Linked DNA regions of Caenorhabditis elegans. The protein of the gene in region 1 purifies or fractionates together with the protein of each later gene. This does not show direct contact. Each region holds a gene or a part of one and is shown on either strand. Other genes may lie near its edges.

Region 1 (3,069 bases):
ATGCTGCCGTTACTCAAGGAGCTCATGCAATGACTCAATTAGAAAATTATGCAGTCGCTATTGGAGATAAATTGAGAACAGTAAGATTTTTATTTAAAAAGATTTATTTTTACAATTAGAAAATGCTCAAAACGTAACTTTTTCGAATTTTATGAATTCGTTCATTTTTCCAACTCTATTTTGCTGGGAGCTTACTAAAAAAGTTGTTCACCCGACATTTGACATACTTATAAACTTTTTTGTAGATTGATGACTATCAAACTCATCATCGTCTCCGTGAAGCAACTGGTCGCAAACGTGCAGAAGAACTCAACGAGCGCGTGATGATCTGGTCCCTTGGTCAATCTGCCGTCGTAGTATTCATTGGAATTGGCCAAGTTTTCCTGCTCAAATCATTTTTCAATGATAAAAGAACTCGTTATTAATTTTTTCACACCATTGCTCTTTTTTTTGTAATTAGCAGCCTTCTCATTTTAATGGGTCCCGTCAGTTGTTTTGCCCCTTTTCCTCCCTTTGATACATAGCATAAGAATATAATTTATTGATTTATAACTGAGTTTCATAACATAAAAACCCGAAGCAATTTTATGCAATTGAGAATTATTCAGGAATGTCTCCGTTGAGAACTGACTGATATTCCTGGAGTCTCCGAAGAAGTGCGTCATTTTGATTAAGAAGAGTTTGGATTCCGTTTACGAGCGTCTTGCGTTTTTCACGGTTTCGCTTAGCCTGAAAGTTGATTGAACTGAATCGAAAACTTATTCAAAGTACAAAATAAAATTATGACACACCTGATTTTCGGGAGTAGTTTCAGTGATAATATTCATCCCATCAAGAGTTTCCAGATGTCTTTCCGCCTCTTCGTTGAAATATTTCACTTTCTTTTCCAGCTTTTTCCCCATCTCGACCTGCTTTGGTTTTTCGAGAAAACCACGTTCCAAATCAGCGACATCTCTCAAATTGAGATCATAGGCTTTTTGAAGATTGCTCAAATTATGCTTCTCATATTGCATGAGCATTTTGAAGCCCGCGTCATCAACCAAAGCATTTTTTCCACCCATCACAATGATTTTATCATTTTCTTTAAAATTTAAAGTAGAAAGGGAGACATCGTCGGCGCCTTGAAGAAACTTTCCTGTAAAATACTTTGTCTCATTATTCCAAAAAATCAGAAACAACCTCTGTGCAACAACTTCATGGTTTCAACATCAACATCATTGTCGGTGGCGATTCGATCGCGTAGCTGCCCAAGTGTCAAAATAGATTCGTCTTCTCCTTGATTTTCCTCAAGAATGTCGATTGTAGTTTGAACGGATGAACACGACACATTCACCTTCATTTCTGAAAATTGATTTTGAGACAGTTTTAGCAGTGGGAGAAGCCTCCGAGTGTCGATAAATAAGAAATTGGAACAAAATTATTGTTAACTTATTAGAAAATTAAGAAACTTCTAGAAATGACGAGAAGCTTATGCGAAAATCAGTTCCTCCACGAGGTGTACACATCGATTGCAATGGGGCGCACTCGCTCAGAGACTTCAGAGAAAAACGATTCCATAGACAATGAATCACCGTTTTCGTACGATACTGTGAGGGACATTAAATTAGCCCATTTTTGTTTTTAAGTCACAATACGAGAGCACATGATAGTTTTTATATTGGACATGTAAGAAACACAATGTATGAGCAATAAAATAAACAGTGAGTTGGGTGATAACCATCGGTTGAATAATAAGTATGCAATTATTTACAAGAAAATTACTTATGGCTGGAAACTTTTTTCAATCGCTCGAGAATGGCATCGAGTTTGTAAATTGTCTCCTGGTCAATCTGTTTGTAGATTTTGTCCCGATTTTTAACTATTTTGCGAAAATTGTGAATGCACTCTGTTGCTTTTGCAGCTCGCTCTTCAGCTACCACATCGACTCCAATTCGCCGAGTTTTGGTGGATGCAAATCCGATGATTGTGTCCAGTAAACTGTTGGTAATTGATGCAAGAGCCTTCAAGCAAGCCGATCGCTTCCCATAATTGTCGCTCGTGATATTTTCTGAATTACAAAACATTAGAATAAATTTATCAGGAAGCAAAACCAACCCATGATAAATGTTAAACAAGCATGGCACGAGTTGAGACACCAAGAGTTTCTACTATTCAGAATTCTAATGACTGTGGGAGCGAGTTGGTTGTCGTTTGACAATATCTGTTCCATGTTACTTGTGAAACTCTTCATCTTATAAACACGAAGATCTGAAAAGAAAACATAAACTGAAAAATCAAAACTCTGCAAATCCTACTTCTGCTCTCTCGCTTCGCACAAACACCGATTTTATTCACTTCCTCGGTGCATGCGGACCACAACGACGCGTTTGATGACATGACTGACACGGATGATTCTGGGGAGGATTTTGGCAAAGAACTGCTATGTTCTTCACCTCTCGAAACCGGGTTCCGAGACAATTCCTTCTTCGACTCGGAATGCAATGGACGTCTTGAGCGAGTATTTGTGAACTCGGGCAGATCGGCTTTCACAGTTCGAGAACTCCCGATGAAAGTGATGGGAACGTCCTTTTCCGCACCGCGTCTGAAAAAAATATAATCGCTTCAGATACTTTTTTCGTAGAACTCACCGACTCGAAGTAGATCTTGTATTTGGTCTGTTTTCAGCGGATTTCGGAATGTCGTTGAGAGGCTTCCTATTTTTTGCATGTGTTAGTTTTTTCCGGTCGTCAAGCCCTGACATCTGAAAAATTTCAAAATTTCAAATTTAAGAAGAGACAAACATTTTATAATTGGAAAAAAACACAAGATATCAAAATTAGACGAAAGAAAGGAACTAGTAAACAAGAAAAAACCGTTTTCCCGCATAAAAGAAATTCCCGCGTAATTCTTTGAAGTACTATCGTACCCCGCATGAGCGCTGCGGGACCCGAATAACATCTCATATGCGCCTTTAAAGTTTTTAATATAAAGCTGGATTTTTTAATCCTAAGTATTTACTTTTGCCTCATTCCAATGAATTCTTGAAACGATATATTTAATATTTAATTTAGTTCTTATAGTAAATGGCTC
Region 2 (4,060 bases), on another chromosome or scaffold:
AAAGAAGGATGAGAATGAGTAGAAGAAGAGCACAAACAGAGTGAGTGAAGAGGATTAATGGATTATAAAAAAATAAATTAAGAAATTTATGAAACTTTTTGAAAATTAAAAAATTGAAAATTTTTTAAGTGGTATTTAATTAATCTTAATTAAGAATCCGCCCCATATCTAAGTGCACTAATACAAATTCAGAATTTCAAGAAGATGACATTACATAGAAACCCATATCGAAATTTAGAGAATAGGCAAGGAAAATGTTCTGCCGAACAAATTGTGAATAGAAGGGCTCTTCACACGAATAACGAGCCTCTCCGTCTCTCACACTTTAATTTTCGTATCTTCAATATTTTAGACCACACGACACCACTCAAACCACTTTCCAAAAACGCAATTATAAATGGCTCTTCTCTTGCTCACAGTGTCACTTTCAGTCGACGACGACATAATTCAATAACGGCTCTTTTTCTGAACAAATAAATAATTAGGAAACAACTTACCGCGGTGGAAATTCTTATTTACTGAAGATTTCATTTACAAACCTTTACTACGATAACATCACGAGTCTAAATGGAAAATGGAAGCAGGAAAATGTTAGGAATTTTTAAGTTTTAAAAGAAAATGGTTGGAGTACATATTCACAGAATCGATTGTTCTTGCATACGGGAAAATTAATGGAATGTTTGTCAATCTATACGAGAAGAAACCACATAGAAAACAGGAAGAACATCGGAGGGTGTTGGATGAGGGGAAGGAAGGGGGATCTGATTACAAATAATGATAAGAGACTAGTGGTCAAATGAGTTCCTACCGTAATCCGAAAAAATTAAAATTACAGCAGAAATCATTGTGAGGCAATCAGAAAATCAAATGGTTAATTGAAAAGGACTGGCAAGTTATCTTCTTCCGATGCAAGCAAATTTCGCGGTGGATTATTTTCAGAATGTGCTGCGTCCTCTCCTGGTCCTGGTCCTTCCAACTGAAATTTTATTTATCTTTTTTAGTTTTAAGTCGTCTCTTATGGGTACACTGTAGTGACAGCATTTTTCAATTCTTTCATGACGGTTCTATTTGGAAAAATGAAAAACCGTTGTAAAAACTTTTCGACTTTTTTCTGATAATATTATTCAATATCGTGTGAGGTGAGAAACCCAGAAATGAAAAGTCGATACTCACTGCTTTTTGAGCAGCTTCTTGTTCCTTCAGTTTCTTTTTGTTAGCCTGAATCTTCTTCATTCTGAAGAACTCCTCTCTTTCCATTTCGTCCAACTCAGTCACAATGTATGTCAGAGTGTTCTCGATACGTGGGATGATAACGTGCTCGATAGCATTGACACGCCTGTTGGTAACCTTGATGGCTTCATCCAAAGTGATGAAGCATGTTTGAAGAGTGGCGAGCTCGACGAGCAATTCGATGGCCTTGTTGTAGTTCTTCTTCAGGCGAGCAATGTTGGCTCCTCCCTTTCCGAGACCAGTAAGATCGTATGCATCTGGTCCGTCTTGGTAGGCGTCGAATACCGGAAGGAAAACTCCTGAAAACGGTTAAATTTCCGACAAAATCAAATTATTTGAACTCTTACAGCTCGCAATTCAGCAGCACGACTTTTAGTTTTTTCGCACTTTTAAGTTAATTCGTTCTAATTCTATCGTTTTTTGAGAAGTAAACTCGATAACGCCAAAAGAAACTCATAGTTTATTCTTAAAATGTGGAAAAAAGTGAAAATATAATCGCGCGAAAAAATAAAAATTCTCGAATGACTCACCGACAACGTTCTCTTTCTTCATGCGAACACGATATTGAGCTTGAGAAACGTTTTGAATGACAGTGTGAGAGAAATCTCCAGCAGTGAACTTGGCTTCAGCCAAAGAGAATGCAGCCTCTTTCATAACCTCTCCCATGAGGACTTTGTTCTGAAAACATTTGATTTTTAGCGTTTCACCTCAGAATTTTCAAACAAACCTCAACAATCTTTCTCAAAATGTCACGGAAACGAAGATTCAACGCATCGGCCTTCTTCTTCAGCAGAGAATGACCCTTTTGAGCACCCTTCAGACGGGTTTTCATCAGGGTTTGCGCCCTGAATAGTTATTTTTTAGATTTCCATCAAGTTTTTCTTCTATAAAACTCACATTCTAGACGGGAAAACCGCGATTCTGTCTTTTCCTCCCCCGGACATGGTTCGACCTGGAAAAAAAGTTTGTTATTTCTATGAAAAAAACATTAAAATATGGCAAAAATGAGCGAAATCGGTTGTTCGCAAGAAATACACAAAAGACCAATGACTGCCGATTGATCGACGGCATTTTCAATAGAGCGAGTTTGCAAGTCTTGTCATGAGGTGGAAATATAAGAGAGAAGAGAGAAGAAGGCATATCTTTGATGTTTCATTGGGAATTGTTGGAATAAAACTTTATCCCAATAGAAAATATCATTTTCAGTAAAAGGTTAAAGGGGTTGGATAATCAATTTAAAAATTAATCTTCGATTTTTTTAAAATTTCAGCTTCAAAACTTTTTGAAATCTAATTTTAAAATAAATGTACTATTCGCAATTTAAAAGCCGGTCCCTCCACTTCTTTTAGCATTAATGACTTGTTTGTTAATAAATATTACCTAGACACGAAATTTTTCGTAAAAAAATACGGTAGCCGGTCTCGACACGACAATTATTTTTCGTAAATTACAAACTGGTGTGCAAGAGTAATGCATTTTTAAACTTTCGCTGCTGTGGAATTTACATTCGGGTTTTTCAGTTTTTCTCACAATTTGTCAAAATTTGAGTGTTTTAGTTGTTTTATTTCAGTTTGTTGATAAATAAATATATTTTGTTAACGAAAACCATGAAAATTCGATAAAAAATTCCGCATAAAAGAAAGTAAGAAATTACAGTAATCCTTAAAAGCACACATCCGTTTGTATTCAACAAAACATAGTCGTGTCGAGACCGGGTACCGTAATTTTCAATGTCCCGAAATAAGCTGACAGATTGAATTTTAAGAAAAGTAGATTGGAGAATTAACCAAGAAGAAAGCATAGAAGAAAATAAACAAATATTGATAAATCATCGTCAAAATTTATTTCACAAAACTTTAGAAAATTATAATGACACAAGAATTAGGTGAGTGGGGGGGGGGGGGGGGGGAAGGGAGCAAAATAAAAATATAATAAATAATATACATGCTATAGGGCGAAGATTGTAAGATCTATTTACGCAACAATCGTGTGAGCAATCCTTTCTTCGATTTCTCACATGGTGGCTGCCAATCACGTCGACTTCTGGTGTTCTTTTCTTCACATTCCAATCGTTTGACCCGTTCAATAAATTCAACAGGAACAGCAAAAAGAGATTGAACGTTTGCGAGGAGGACAGCGGTAATCAGCATTCCTTGTTGCTTTCGGCATTTACTACAAACACCTGTCCAGAGTCCGATGATTGCCTGAAATCGAAAATTTAAAAATTGATATTACACAGACACGAAATATAGCGACAAAAGTACGGTACCGGTCTCGAGGCGAAAAATTTTTGTCGAATGAAACGAATGAAGATTTCTGCAGAATTTTCAGTGTTGAAATATAGGTGTTAATTTTTTAGTTCTATAGTTTTTTAATAGATAAATATATTTTTATCAAATAATTAATTAAAATCCATAAAAATTCGGCAGAAATGATAGTTTGAAATTACAGTGCTCCTTAAAGACTCATACATTTTCTTATCTTACAAAAATTTGTCGAGTCGAGACAGTAGTTTTCTTGCAAAATGATCCCCTCCTTACCGCTTCACGATTGTTGGAAGATCCATTAGAAGGATCAGCGAGGTCGAAGACTGCATTCGTTTCGATCGATTGAATGAATGTAACAAATTTGTGAAGTTTCCGACGTCTTGAAGTTGGAAGCGAAAGAAGTACCAATTGAATTGCTTCGATCAACCACTGCTCTCGGATTTCGTAGGATTTTTCGTCTGAAAATTATAATTTTTAAGTAAAAAATGTGAAACTCTAATAAATATAAATTTCTTTACCTTGTATTTTCAAATTCACTCTATTATCAAATGGTGATAACGCAC
Region 3 (6,114 bases), on another chromosome or scaffold:
GGAGAAGACAAGTTCCTTGTGTTCACAAAACCATCAGATGTTCATTTGGTGGAGGCTCTGGAAGCTTTGAAGGATGGGCAGGCTGTGCCTATAAAGGTTGCTAGAAATCTAGAGATCTTCAAGCTAAAAGAGGGGCAAAAACCGAAAGCACCAAAGTTGGCAGATGATTTTTACAATTTGTCGACTGCTGAACTCAAAGCCGAACAGAGAAATAAGGAGATGCAGGTGGAGAGAGTGAGTGGAGCTTTAAATTGAAAAATCACACAATAAATTGAATTTTTAGATGCTGACATTGCGTACGAAGGAAATGAGACAAAAAGACGAACAAATGACCAATTATCGCTACAAATATACGTTGATTCGTGTCAGATTGCCTGGAAATTTGTTGATGCAGGTATGTATATTCCAGAAATTCAAGTGATTAATTATTTTATTTTATTTTTCCAGGGAGTATTTGGTTGCCATGAACCATTTTCCGCAGTCCGTGTCTTCGTTGCTTCAACTCTTTCCGATGCTCTTTCGACATCCGAATTCACTCTTCGTGACGCTGCCAGTCAACTCGTGGAGGATGAATCTGCATCGTTGGCTCAACTCAGTCTTGCTCCAGCTGCTCTTCTTCATGTCGTCTTCGCTGAAAACCTGTCTGATTATGGACAAATCGTTGCCGATGAGCATATCGAAATTATCCAGGAGCTTGAAGCTTCCGACTAATTTTTGTATAATTTAAAAATATAATTCCCGGCTATTAGTGTGATATGTTTGTCATTATTTTTTTCCGGTACTGCTGATGTTTTATTTCGCCTAATCGCTTTCGTTGTATTTAACTTATAAGATGCAAAAAGATTCGAGCAGCATATTAAAGATTTTGTACAGAACCGCACTTTAACTGTTTCTCTATTCGTTGTATATCGATTTTTATTTTGAAAATTATTCACTCTATCAAGAAGAAGCCGAAATTCCGCCCACTGCATCTTTTTTCAGTTGTGCTTCTCCAAAAACCATTTTCAGATGTCACAGGATCCCACGATCTCCAATTTTTTAAATGGAAAACCCATCATCGCACCTGTCGGGCCATCTTCTTTATTAACCAGGTTACTTTGAAGCAATTATTTAATTTTTAAGAAAAATTAATTCGAAATTTAAGATTACAATCGTTCCTGCCTCAAATGGAAGAAGCCAATCGAAATATGCCGGAAAACGCGTCAGCTGACGCTTTTCATATTGAAAATGTCGAGGATGACAGCTCGGACGACAGCGATTCGAATTCAGAATCGATTTCGGAAGAGGTACCTGTCACAACTGACGAAAAGAGCACAGCGAGTAGTACACAGAGGATTGAAATTGATTTAGACGTGTTCAAGGAGATGAACAGCGCAGTTGATGACAGAGATGTCGGAATTCAGAATGTCGAAGCTCTTCCAGAAGCATTTCAGTCAAAAGGAGAGGATTCGAAACCGGAAATTACAAAGAAACCGTTGATTGAAGAATTATGAAATTTATGTTTTTTCTATTGTTGTGAATTTTTTGTTGAATTTGTTACTTTTTGACCTACCCCTCGAAACATTTTCTCACATTGCGAAATGAATCAATAAAATTTCGATTTTAGATTTTTATTCATTTATCTCATTGGTTTCTATCCATTTTTGAATTACCTTCCCATTTTTATTTATCTCTGCCTTTTCTAAAATTCTCCGAAAACTTTTCCGAAATGCAGCGTCTTCTCCTTCGTAAAATGTCGTCTGCTGTGGTGACAAGTGCAGCTGAGTATGATGTGAGAGCGTTGGAAAAGCTCAAGGATCTTTATGGCGATCTGGCACAAATTCCGATTCCAACTCAAGGACGAATCGAGAAGAAGTCAGGAGATGAGTTCATCAAAGTCACCACGACTTGGGATAACCGTGCCATGCAGCTGAATAAGTTGACTCGTCAGCAACGTGTCAGCTTGATTGGAAAAAAAGGACCGGAAGTTACGGATCGGTATCTGATGACGTCGGTTTCGGTGCCAATGTGTAATTATGAGTTAGTAAACAATTATTCGGAGATTGAATGGAGTCTGTGGGAATTTTGCCAAAAATAACAGAGAACAGTGACAATATGACGAATAGAACTGCTGAAATAATTATAGAATTTCGCTAAATTTTTTATGTTTTCTTTTCATTTCGCGGAAAACCCAATACTTTCTTTAGAAAACTGCATAATATTTGAGTGTCCGCGTGATGCATACACTTACGCACATAGTGCGTCGGAGAAAACGCTCCTGAATTCACTTTTTTTTTTGAATATTCCATTTTCTTCATTCTTTCAGGTATTTCATGCTTTTTTCGATTATTTATCACAAATATGTAGTTGAAATTGTAAAACTAGTTAAAATTTTCCTTCTTTTAATAAAAATTGAATTTGGGAGCGTTTTCTGTGACGCCTTTTTTGCGTGAGTGTAGACAATGCGCGGGTGCTCTAATATAATTCAATTTCAGCCAAATTGAAAAGATTCCATGATTATTTTAGCGGTTTTATTCGGTTCGTTGATATTTTTTCTCTTGGTATGAGAAAATACCCCCGGCAGACGCTACTCTATCTTTATGAATATGGAATAAATTCTAATTTCAGAAACCAAAGAAGTGTGTATTCCGCATCAAACTCCCGTGTTGCTCAACTTCTGACCATCGGAACTGGAGACGATAAGAAACAATATTTGAAGATCTACAATCTTGAGGAACATGTGGAAGAGCTTTGCGCTGATCTTTCCACTCAGAAAAAGCACGGAACAATTCACGGTGGTGGTTGTATGCCGTTCGGATGCCTTCACTTTTCGTACGGGGAGGGGCATGTTTTGTACGTGGCTGAGAGAAATTCGAAAACTTCGCAATACTTTGATGCTGATATAGAGTGGGATAACGAGACGAAGGTTTTCGAAAGCAAAGTGGTATAGATTAAATAAAAAATATAAGTTTCGATTTCTAGAGAATTATTTGCAGGGCAAGAAATTCGAGCTCACCGAGTCATGGGGAGAGCAGAACGATGGTGTCAAGCAGCCGGTGATTTGCATTGTCGACATCTCCAGTGGAAATGTGACAGCTCTCGATCAAATTCCTGCGAATATTTCCCCATCCTACACGAAATGGGCTCCAGGAGATGCTGGCGTTGTTTTCTTTGGCCTCGAAGAGCAGGACACCCCACGGCTTGGCAGAATCTACTGCAACAATCGCCGTGGAAATCTTTACTACTATGAGCTTGCGACCGCAAAGCTGACGAAGATCAGTGAGGGTGAAATCTCGGCTGAAGAATTGCAATTTTCGCCCGACGGAAATACTTTGGTGTGGTTCCAGAGAGCAGCAGATGGACCACATCAAGCAGTTCTTGAAATGGTAGCTGTTGAGTGGCCATTGAAAGTAGATTCTGCTGAAAACATTGAGAAGCGAATCATTGTTCCGATTGTGAAGGAGAAGAGATCTGCAGACGAATTCCAGGGATTCACATTCCCACAGGTACTCAGGCAACTCAAATCTAATATGAAAATATTAAATAGCAATATTTTTGTAGTAAATACGAGAAATAGTGCGTCCATATAAGATTACTAAAAATTTCGAATAGATTTCGATTTTGTCTCAAAAGATTACTAATTTGTCTCAAAAGACTGTGAACTCATCTCCGAAGATTGAGATTTTGTCTCAAAATATTGAAAATGCAAAAAACTGCTTCATCGAAGATTTTTGGAATTAAAGTTTTTTCCTGTATTTCGATATGTACATGAGGAAGGGACAGAATATAAGGCAATATAATTACCGATTTTTCAAAAATCAATATTTACAGACAGCAACTCGTTCTTGGTCTACTGATTCCAAGCGTCTTATCCTTTCAAGTTCCTGGTGCAGCAAGTTGGAACTGCTTTCCGTTAACATCGCAACTGGGAACATTGAAAAATTAACCAATCACTCCATATGCCTTGGAACTTGGTCTCTTCTTGATGTCTATGATAACGAAGTGCTCGCAGTCGTCTCTGCTCCGAATCGCCCACCAAACGTTCTTCTGGGACAACTTCCAGGGACAGGAAAAGCCGAGGAAATGGTTTGGGTGCGAATCGACGAGGCGAAGGCTGTTGATAAACGTCGTCATCTCTTCGAGTTCTCCTGGGAATTTGTGAATCTTGAGCGTGACGGAGCGACTTACGAAGGAATTCTGATTGTTCCAAATGAGGGAAACAATCTTCCAATGGTTGTGAATCCCCATGGTGGACCTCATGGTGCATCCATGGCAAGGTGAGTTACTTTTTCCCTTTTTTAAACGTTTTTCATTTAAAAGTTCAGCTGGCCACGTCGGGATCTTACTACTCTTCTCAACTCTGGATATGCCGTCCTTCAAGTCAATTTCCGTGGATCACTCGGATTTGGTGACGATTTTATTCGTGCTCTGCCTGGAAACTGCGGAGATATGGATGTTAAGGATGTTCATGTAAGGAGAACATTTTTTTAAAACTTTCTCTGTGTTATGGCAAGACTCAACCGGATGTTATAAAGCTTCAAAGTTCCGAAAATCAACCTCTTCGCCCGAATAACTTGAATTTCGCGCAAAAATTAACCCACTTACCGATTAATTTATTTTTCTGGAATTTAGTCGATTTTTCGTGTTTTTATATTGAAAATTTAAATGTTTTCTGACAAAACTTTTAACAAAAGTCAAAAATAATACGAAAAATCGTTTTTAGATTCAAAAAATGAATAAATCTATCCGCTGAAAATCCATGAAACACATTTACGCGCGAAATTTAAACAACGATAATGATTTTCGGTAGTTTGAAGCCTTTAAACATCCGTTTTAGACATTCTTGTGCTGTTTTGCATATCGTTTTGTCAAAGAATTTAGAACGTTTATTCGACTACACCGCATGTATTATCAATGTAATTAATACTAATTCAGAACGCAGTTCTCACCGTCTTGGATAAGAATCCACGTATTTCTCGAGACAAGGTTGTACTCTTCGGAGGATCTCATGGAGGGTTCCTGGTGTCTCATTTAATTGGACAATATCCAGGATTCTACAAAAGTTGTGTTGCCTTGAATCCAGTCGTCAACATTGCCACAATGCATGATATCACTGATATTCCTGAATGGTGCTATTTCGAGGGAACCGGAGAATATCCAGACTGGACAAAGATCACGACCACCGAACAACGGGAGAAAATGTTCAACTCTTCGCCAATTGCTCATGTGGAGAACGCAACTACTCCGTATCTCTTGCTCATTGGTGAAAAGGATCTTCGTGTCGTTCCTCACTACAGAGCATTTATTCGTGCTCTCAAGGCTCGTGGAGTTCCGGCAAGGTATTCTTGAAAAATTGTTTGCAAGAGAAATTGTTTTTTTTTTCAGGGTTCTCACCTACCCACCATCGAACCATCCACTTGATGAGGTCAACGTTGAGGCCGACTATGCAATCAACATGGTCCGCTGGTTCGAGAAATCACTGTCTCAGTAAATATACTAATGTCTATATGTATTTATCTATTCATCGGCTGCTTCTTTTCCTGCCCCCGGTATTTTTTCATTCATTTTCCCGTGATATTGCCTTGTAAATCTCTTATATATGAACGGTTTGTATATTCTGGAGGATTTCAGTTTTTCAACGGTTTTGGTTTTCCCATTTTTAATTATTTCTAGTGGAATTTCTAAATTGAACATCTGAAATTCCTAGAGATTTCTTACATTTCTTACAGGCAGTCAATATTTAGCAGCTTCATCATATACGTGTACAACTATAATGTCTACAGACGAGGAGGTCCCGTTGGCCACTCGTCAAATGCATGAAGCTTTTGTCACAATCTCACAACAAATGCTTCAGTTCCGGGTGAATACTGCACGTATCACAACTCCTTCCGATTACGAACCACAAGAAGTTTGGGTCATTTACGAGACATTAGAGTGCCCAGATCAACGGCAATACATGAGATCACGTGGATTAGTGTCGAGGAATAAACTTTGGATGTTAATGGAAACGGAAACGGATAAAGATTGGAAATACTTCACCCATATATTTTCGGATGATTGTAAAGTCTGCGTATTCGTAGCAGAATCCATAGAAATGGGTCACGATAAGGATGTTATTCAAGTAGAAGATGTTCA
Region 4 (7,421 bases), on another chromosome or scaffold:
GTGAGTCCAAAGTATACGGTACCGACCGGTCTCGACACGAAGGATACGATTACTGCAGAATAGAATGTGCGCCTTTAAAGATTACGGTAATGTCGAAGCTTTGGAAATCGATTAAAGAAATGAATTTTTTCTCATTTTAATAAAAACAAATTTTATGCAAAATTGGGCTGGAAAAAAGACTTTTGTTCGAAGCTGCTAAAAAAAAGTATTATTACTTCACCGTAAAACGTGATTTTTTACAGTTTCTCCCACTACTCGAGGTAAATATATTTTTATCTTTCCTAATTGATTTTTAAAAAAAGAGAAATTTTTAAAGCTAGATCAGAAATGGTTTAGTGTATGTGGTATTATTCGTAGCGACAGAGTCAATACTAATGAAATCTGTGAATATTTTTTAAGTGTTGAAGAATATAAGATAATTTTGTTCATTTAAAAATACTTCGTATGCTTAATCTTTTGACAGGCTTGATTTTTGAAAAGACGGAAATTTTGGATATCTTTCATCAGAACTAGAAAATTTATTTACTCTGGAAAAGGCAAAAAAAAAGAATACAGTGAAACAACAAGCATATCAAAATATTACAATTCTACAGAGCAGATCCGGCAAACATCGACGGGAAATTAGGCAGAAAGAGTGGAGAAAAGAGGGACGATTGAGGAAAGAGAGAGAGGGTAGGGGGGTTAATGATGAAAATAGAACGAGTGACAGAGAGATTTATACATAACGAAGTGGATCAAAACAATAGGTATAGGAAGATCCAATCTTGCTATTTGTTGTTGTAGTTGTGAGTAGAATGGCTTACAGTTCCCTGGAAAATATTGAATCAATGAATTATTAGTACCTGCAGAAGCTCAGCTTATATATTCTGTTAAATCAAAACAAAGTACAAAATCTTGATATTCACTACTCACTCCGACTCGATAAATCCATTCGTGTAGACACGGAGCATGAACTCGGCTTCCTCGTTTGGTTCAAATGTTGATGGAACGACAACATAGTTGCCCGGGGGTACACGGAAGCGGCCAGTCATCTGAAAATTTGGTTTTTAAAATTTAATTTTGAAGATAGAAAATTACCTCTCTTAAATTGATGAAAGCGGCCGATCTCATCGCGGATTTGTTGGCAGCGAAGAACTGTTTACTCAGTCGACCACGGTTATTTCCGGCCTGAATAGTATGTAATTTTATAAAGCTTGAAAAAATCTTTGGTTCGGACGAACACAGAGACAGAAAATACAATTTTCTTTCAAATGACTGCATTTTTCTGTTATTTGATACGTTTCACACATCCAATAGTAAACAACAAAACATAAATATTGGTTAGATAATGTCAAAAAATCAGCACGTGTACTTCAACAATAAAACAATACACACTAAACAAAGTGGGTGAGGTTCACTGAATGTGGGTTATTTTGAACTAGAAACGACGTGATTTGGACAATTTTACCGGTTTCACAAGATTTTCAATTAGCCAACTTACATTGTTCATCTGTAAATTTTTAGCGTATTTAAAAGGTTTAAAAATTTTTTAGTAGTTTTAGGGGAAAGTTAAGTTTTCAAATGTTCCAACTATTCTATTTAAAGTTGAGGTTTTCTAGAATTGTCGTAAATTTCAGGCCAAATCCTGTTTTTTCTTCAAAATAACAATAGTCTCACGTCATAGACAGCAAATCCAATTGGCACGTTGTCAAGTCCATCTTGTTTCAGATTACGTCTTAAAAATTGGAAAAATAAAAATGATTTCCCTATCTGGTGGCGCTACCTGTATTTTTGCAAAACGGCGAATATTACAGTGCAGAGTTCATCATCATCATCAGGATCCGAATCGGTAAGTTGAACTCGGAATTGTGGATTGTTGGCGAAAGTGTCTGAATTGAAAATTGAAAATATTTGTAGATGAATATTTACTTACTGATGTAATTCCTGCATCCTCCAGCTGTTTGATTTCTAACCCATGCACCATCATGAGTATTTGCAGCCCAAACCATTCCAGCGGCCTTGACACCAGTCATTTGATAGACTTCATCCATAACATCTGGTCCAAGATTGCAAATTTCCATTTTCTCGAAATTCCTCATAAAATCATCAAATGACATCCAAAACTCTCCATCATGATCGAATTTCAGTCCCATATCTTGTTTTACAGAATCTGGAACACTTCGCCATTCGCGTGAATTGTCTGACCATGGTCCATTCCATTCCTGTTCATTTCCCCATGGATTACGGATTCGAAGAATGCAAGTTTGTCCATTTGGTCCGTCAACAATTCGGCATCCGGTAATTGAATAGGCGTGTCCTTTCACTAAACCATTCGACATTTTTGCTTCCCAAACATTTGGATCGGCTTCGATGGAGCAACCGAATAGGGATCCCATCTCGAATCTGAAATTTTGTTAATACATGGACGCTAAAATTTGCGCAAAAAATACGGTAATCGGTCTCGACACGACAACTTTTTGTCGAATATAAATAGGGGATCACTTTTAAAGAGTACTTTACTTTCAAGATTTTATTTTTGTGGAATTTTTTATCGATTTTTCATAGTTTGTGTGTTCTTAATTGTTTTATTTCTGTTTCTAACAAAAAACTATGCAAAATCAATGAAAATTCGGCATCAACGAAAGTTTGAAACTACAGTACTCATTAAAGGCGCACAGACATTCATAATTAACAAAAATTGTCGCGTCGAGACCGGGTACTGTAGTTTGGCACAACTCGTTTTTGGATAATAATGTAAATTAGACTTTAATCCCTACCCTCTCATCATCATTTGCATCAAGTTTCTTGGTGGGTTTTTGAGGTCGATAAACTCGGTGAGTCCTCCAGTCATGTCCTCAAGTGCTTCAGATGTGGTACCTCCCTTGAGAGCCTCGTATGATCCGAACAATCTTGAAAATTAATTAACTAGTTTATTCCTTCATAAATGTCGGTCAAAAGTCCGAACTTACTTTGCATATGCCTTCTCTAAAAGTGCACTCCAGAACTCATTATTACTAGCAGAATGCATATAGAGAAGCTCGCCGTTACTCGTTGGTAATCTGTCGTCAATAACAACATCCACCCATTTTCCGTACTGCCAGAATTGGAAATGGAAGATTCCAGCGTAGTTTTCAGTGAAAGATTGATCTGGTGGAACCACACGATAGAAGAGCTCATCCTTGAGAGTTAAATTGGCTGCAGCAGCCAAGAGCCAACAATCTCCGAGTTCTCCCTGAAAGAATATATAATTTTAATAGTACATTTCAAATATTAAAAATTCTGAAAATAATCCAAGAGCTAACCTGAATAACATCAAATCTCGAGTGACCCTCTGTAATCAGTTGTGGCTCTCTTGTGATTTCTCCAGGACGAAGCCATTCTACACGTTTTGGTGGACGTTTCGAGAAGAATAACGAACTATCATTGGCCAAGAATTGTGGATCCTCGAATAGTCGTTTGCTCTGAATTTATTATTTTAAAAATGATATGTTTTGAACACTCACCTCAAGACATTGATCTCTGAGCTCATAGAAGTCTTGTGGTTCGGTAGTTGGTCTTGGTGAAATAGGGCTTGGACCACTTCCACCACCTCCTCTATCTGGATCTGGTCCTGGACGAACGAATGGATCAACATCCCTACGGAACTTTCCAGAAATAATATTGTCCAGAATAACTTTTCCGATATTTCCAAGAGAATTATCTTTTCCACCAAGTCCCATAATCACATTTCCAGCGACAGCTCCAATGATTCTGCCTGTACCCGGATCAACGCCGAGGAATCTGTGAGCAGCTTCTCCAATGAGATTTCCGATAACATTCACCATTCCACCGTTGAGATTATTCGGGTTCACATTTCCACCTCCACCATTGTACTGGCCACCGCCTCCTCCGCCAATGAGAGATCCGATTCCTCCGAGGATATCTCCGAAGCCTCCTCCACCACCGCCTAAAATTTTTCAAATTATTCAAAGTATATTAATAAATGTTCTATACCTTGTCTCTGGCCACCACCACCACCACCTCCCATACTGTTGATGAGTCCACCGATATCATTGAAGTTAAAGCCACCGCCTCCGCCGCCTCCTTGATTTCCACCACCACCGCCGTAGTTACCACCTCCGCCTAAAATATTACTCTAGCTTGAATTTCATGGGTGCCACATTTGTGTAGATAGTTCAGAAATGAAATACAATTAGATGTGATAAATAAGTGTCAATAAGATCTATAAATGTTCTGATCATCAGCTCTATTAACTATTAAAATATTAACACAACATTTATGATACTACATGCACACTACAATCCTAATGCATACCACCACCACCAATAAGTGATCCGACCAAGCTTCCGATGTTGTTTCCACCACCGCCACCGCCACTGCCGCCTCCGCCTAAATTTCACACGAAATATCACAGCAAACATGCAAAATATTGCATTTTTAAAGGAAAATCACGAATCATCAGTCAAAAGCGAATTAACAGGAGAATTTAAAAGTCTAAAGCTTCTTTCAAAATAGCCATATTTTTCAAATCAAATTTTGGAAATGAGTGGTGTTGTTAGTATTTAAGTGAGTGTTGGTGAGTGCGTAGAAGCTTAACTTATTGTATTTTCAAACTCTCAGACCGTAATTTTGCCCTCCGCCGCCTCTTTGTCCACCGCCGCCACCTCCGCCGCTCAAAAGTCCCCCAAGAATGTCTCCGAACCCTCCGCCACCGCCAGATCCACCTCCACCACCAAAATTGTTATTTGGTGGCGGCTGTTGTCGACCTCCACCTGATTTTTAACATAAGTTGATGAATTTGTGCTATGAGCGTGGAATTGCGCTATTTTCAAGAAAAAAGCTTGAAGATTGGTGAACAATTACGGAACAAAAGACAAAGAAGCTTCACATTCCCAGACGTCCAAGAATGAAAAACTAGAAAAAAAACCGAGGATAATAAATTACAGACCATGTTCAGAAAATTTGAGAAAATGATTAAGCTAATTATATAATCAAATCTATAGAAAGCACAAAACAGCAAATAAAAAAAACACAAACGCTACCATAGTTATCCTGCTCCTTCTTTCCTTTCCTATTCACCACATTATCGAATATTCCTCCAATCAAGTCTTTCGCCATGTCTCGTTTCCTTTTTTGTTGATCTCCGCTGTTCCCATTCCCGCCTTGATCGTAGTTCGAACCTATGGATTACTGTAGCAGCAAATGGGATTACGATAACATGGACAACATATAAGGTGTGAGAAAAAATTCACTGATCTAAGCCACACGGTGATGTTTTGAGTGAATCTAAATGTTTTCTAACACAAAAAAAGGAACTTGAATTTTTAGGGAATTTTTGTCTGACAATTTTGAAAATAAAAATACCTCCACCGAATCCTCCATTTCCACCACCGAAACCTCCGCCTCCGCCGCCGCCTCCTCCGCCGCCTCCACCTCCGAAGAAGTTACTGGCAAGGCCTCCAAGGATATCACCACCGGCGCCACCGACCTGTGAGATAATTAGTTTTAGGTTGCAATTAAATTTCAACATGTCTATGTAGCAAATTTAAAAAAAAAATATTCTAACCAAAAATTAAACTAACCTTATCTCTAATCAGGTTACCAGCAATTGATCCAATTAATCCATTGAATTCATCCGGCTTCACTTCGACTTTTTGAATAATTTCTTCCTCATCGTCAGCCATTTTGATTCCGTCGGCTTTTGCTGTGAAACCGTCGGTTGTTGTCTTTTTTTGATAGTTTTCCTCCTCGTTTGAGCCTGCCGCACGATTTTCGGGGTCTGCAAAACAGAATATCTATGAATTTGAAATAAAATTTGATTTTTGTTCAACGAAAAAGTCAGAAGAAGCAGAGCAATCAGGCTCACAACATAGAGAAAAAAAAAACAAATTTTTACCTCTTCTTGGGGATACAGCAATTGAGAATGGAAACATAAAATAATTTTTAGAGTTAGAGCTTTTTTTAAGGAATGTGTAATTCTTAAAATCGATAAGCCCTTTGCGTGCTCTTTGAGCCTTCGGAGTTGGGGAGACAAAGATTAGCGTCAACTTTTTTGTGCATGCATTTTTCTGTTTTTTTTCTCATATTTTCTGAGCACGAAACAACATAAATTTAGTTGACAGAATAAAGGAAATTTGAGTTAATGGAAATAGAAACTTTATCTATTAATTTATTTGATTGTCATCAATTAGCTATCGATGGCAAACAAAACGGATGAACCTAATTGGAAACGGATAAAAATATAAATTCAATGTGACAGGGGGAGAAAAAAAAACTAGATTTTATTTTTTTGTTTCTCTTTTGGTTTTTCGGTCTTGTTTTCAATTTAATCGTCACGGAAATTGGTATTGGAGTGAGGCACAACACACCAAAAAAACAATTGCCACATTCAATGGGTTTCGAAATATAGAATATGCTCAGAAAATCAGATAAAACTAAGCAAATCGTAATTTTTGAACATGATTTTCAATTATTCAAGGATTTTTCTTTCAATTTTGTTCCGAAATTTCCCTGTATGACCTTTTGATACGGATAAAATTGTCTTTTGAAACCGAGAAAACGAACAAAAAACATTTGGAAATCGATGTAAAAGCTGCGGGGGACCAGAGTTTGCGTGTTTTGCTTTTGAAACCAATTCTACATTCCCATGAGTCTAAGCGAAGGACATGTCAACTCAGTGTCAGGAGCAGGCCGAAAATGTGTTTTTTTTTTAATTTAGAGTTCAGAAAAAAAACCACACCTTCTGAAGATACTCTGGATCACACGTAGACAACAATACAATACATTTCTTGAATTTTTTTTCATACAAATTTGACTCACCAACAAGACAACAATTGAATACATTCATTGCACCGGGCAATTCTCCTCGAGAAACGAGCACAGAATGAGCTCAAAAAGGGAGCAACAAGCAGCTCGTTTTGAGAAATGGAGAGCTAGAGGGACCAACCGGAAATAAAGGAGCACCCTATGGCTCAGAGCAGGAAAAAGTTGCTCTTTTTTTTCTCGAAACGGAATGTGATGGCAGAAATAGAGGGGAAAAGATGTTCCGCGCCGTTGATAATTGGTTTTGGTGAGGCTCCGGGGCTCAGTTGCTCTTTTTGTTTTTGTTTTCCGTTAGGTTCTATTCGCAGGTGATCGATAGCATAGAGGAAAAGGTCCCTTTTTCTTTGAAAAGAGAATAAAATTTTGTGTATCGAAGCACTTTTTTTTGGATTTATAGGTGAGTGACCAGAGAACTCTTTAGAATAAAGAAGTGGTGAGCGATTTAAAAATGAGAAAATTTCACCAACGTTGGTTGCCAATCATTCAAAAAGCCAGGGTTTGAGCTGTCTGAGCCCCATTTGACGATTATCTAGATGTTGCGGATTTACGACTTACAATTACAGAAATCTAAATCCAAATGAGGACTGTTCTTTTTTGTTTAATTTTTTTTATTTGGCTCC

Evidence for each region.
Region 2: the proteins of bag-1 (region 1) and vha-14 fractionate together in Caenorhabditis elegans (co-fractionation; one large-scale study listed by BioGRID). This does not show direct contact.
Region 3: the proteins of bag-1 (region 1) and dpf-5 fractionate together in Caenorhabditis elegans (co-fractionation; one large-scale study listed by BioGRID). This does not show direct contact.
Region 4: the proteins of bag-1 (region 1) and clp-1 fractionate together in Caenorhabditis elegans (co-fractionation; one large-scale study listed by BioGRID). This does not show direct contact.

What each region holds. Positions count from the first base shown.
Region 1 is NC_003279.8:6,563,111-6,566,179, forward strand, and holds bag-1 (BAG family molecular chaperone regulator 1), read right to left. Parts: upstream 1,342-3,069; 5' UTR 1,340-1,341; coding exon 1,180-1,339; intron 1,136-1,179; coding exon 792-1,135; intron 730-791; coding exon 601-729; 3' UTR 519-600; downstream 1-518. Other genes in the region: tmed-3 (GOLD domain-containing protein), read left to right, coding at 1-80, 246-425; mei-2 (Meiotic spindle formation protein 2), read right to left, coding at 1,758-2,047, 2,095-2,247, 2,295-2,581, 2,628-2,740; syp-6 (Thyroid receptor-interacting protein 11), read left to right, coding at 3,063-3,069. UniProt on the Caenorhabditis elegans protein: May inhibit the chaperone activity of HSP70/HSC70 by promoting substrate release in an ATP-dependent manner.
Region 2 is NC_003281.10:9,506,222-9,510,281, reverse strand, and holds vha-14 (V-type proton ATPase subunit D), read right to left. Parts: upstream 2,183-4,060; 5' UTR 2,175-2,182; coding exon 2,128-2,174; intron 2,076-2,127; coding exon 1,958-2,075; intron 1,909-1,957; coding exon 1,761-1,908; intron 1,530-1,760; coding exon 1,174-1,529; intron 977-1,173; coding exon 872-976; 3' UTR 525-871; downstream 1-524. UniProt on the Caenorhabditis elegans protein: Subunit of the V1 complex of vacuolar(H+)-ATPase (V-ATPase), a multisubunit enzyme composed of a peripheral complex (V1) that hydrolyzes ATP and a membrane integral complex (V0) that translocates protons.
Region 3 is NC_003282.8:4,802,187-4,808,300, reverse strand, and holds dpf-5 (acylaminoacyl-peptidase), read left to right. Parts: upstream 1-1,714; 5' UTR 1,715-1,732; coding exon 1,733-2,019; intron 2,020-2,607; coding exon 2,608-2,923; intron 2,924-2,975; coding exon 2,976-3,485; intron 3,486-3,810; coding exon 3,811-4,256; intron 4,257-4,304; coding exon 4,305-4,449; intron 4,450-4,914; coding exon 4,915-5,318; intron 5,319-5,364; coding exon 5,365-5,470; 3' UTR 5,471-5,599; downstream 5,600-6,114. Other genes in the region: ubxn-6 (UBX domain-containing protein 6), read left to right, coding at 1-234, 284-394, 448-711; H06H21.11 (uncharacterized protein), read left to right, coding at 1,009-1,091, 1,145-1,493; dpf-7 (Dipeptidyl Peptidase Four (IV) family), read left to right, coding at 5,753-6,114.
Region 4 is NC_003281.10:7,979,411-7,986,831, reverse strand, and holds clp-1 (Calpain clp-1), read right to left. Parts: upstream 5,759-7,421; 5' UTR 5,664-5,758; coding exon 5,562-5,663; intron 5,468-5,561; coding exon 5,344-5,467; coding exon of another isoform or gene 5,228-5,343; exon of another isoform or gene 5,160-5,227; coding exon 5,022-5,159; intron 4,369-5,021; coding exon of another isoform or gene 4,294-4,368; intron 4,102-4,293; coding exon 3,973-4,101; intron 3,926-3,972; coding exon 3,483-3,925; intron 3,441-3,482; coding exon 3,282-3,440; intron 3,212-3,281; coding exon 2,949-3,211; intron 2,889-2,948; coding exon 2,757-2,888; intron 2,383-2,756; coding exon 1,913-2,382; intron 1,869-1,912; coding exon 1,763-1,868; intron 1,715-1,762; coding exon 1,657-1,714; intron 1,490-1,656; coding exon of another isoform or gene 1,481-1,489; intron 1,168-1,480; coding exon 1,078-1,167; intron 1,032-1,077; coding exon 913-1,031; intron 810-912; coding exon 800-809; 3' UTR 504-799; downstream 1-503. UniProt on the Caenorhabditis elegans protein: Calcium-regulated non-lysosomal thiol-protease which catalyzes limited proteolysis of substrates. Required for assembly and maintenance of integrin attachment complexes which are essential for maintenance of adult muscle.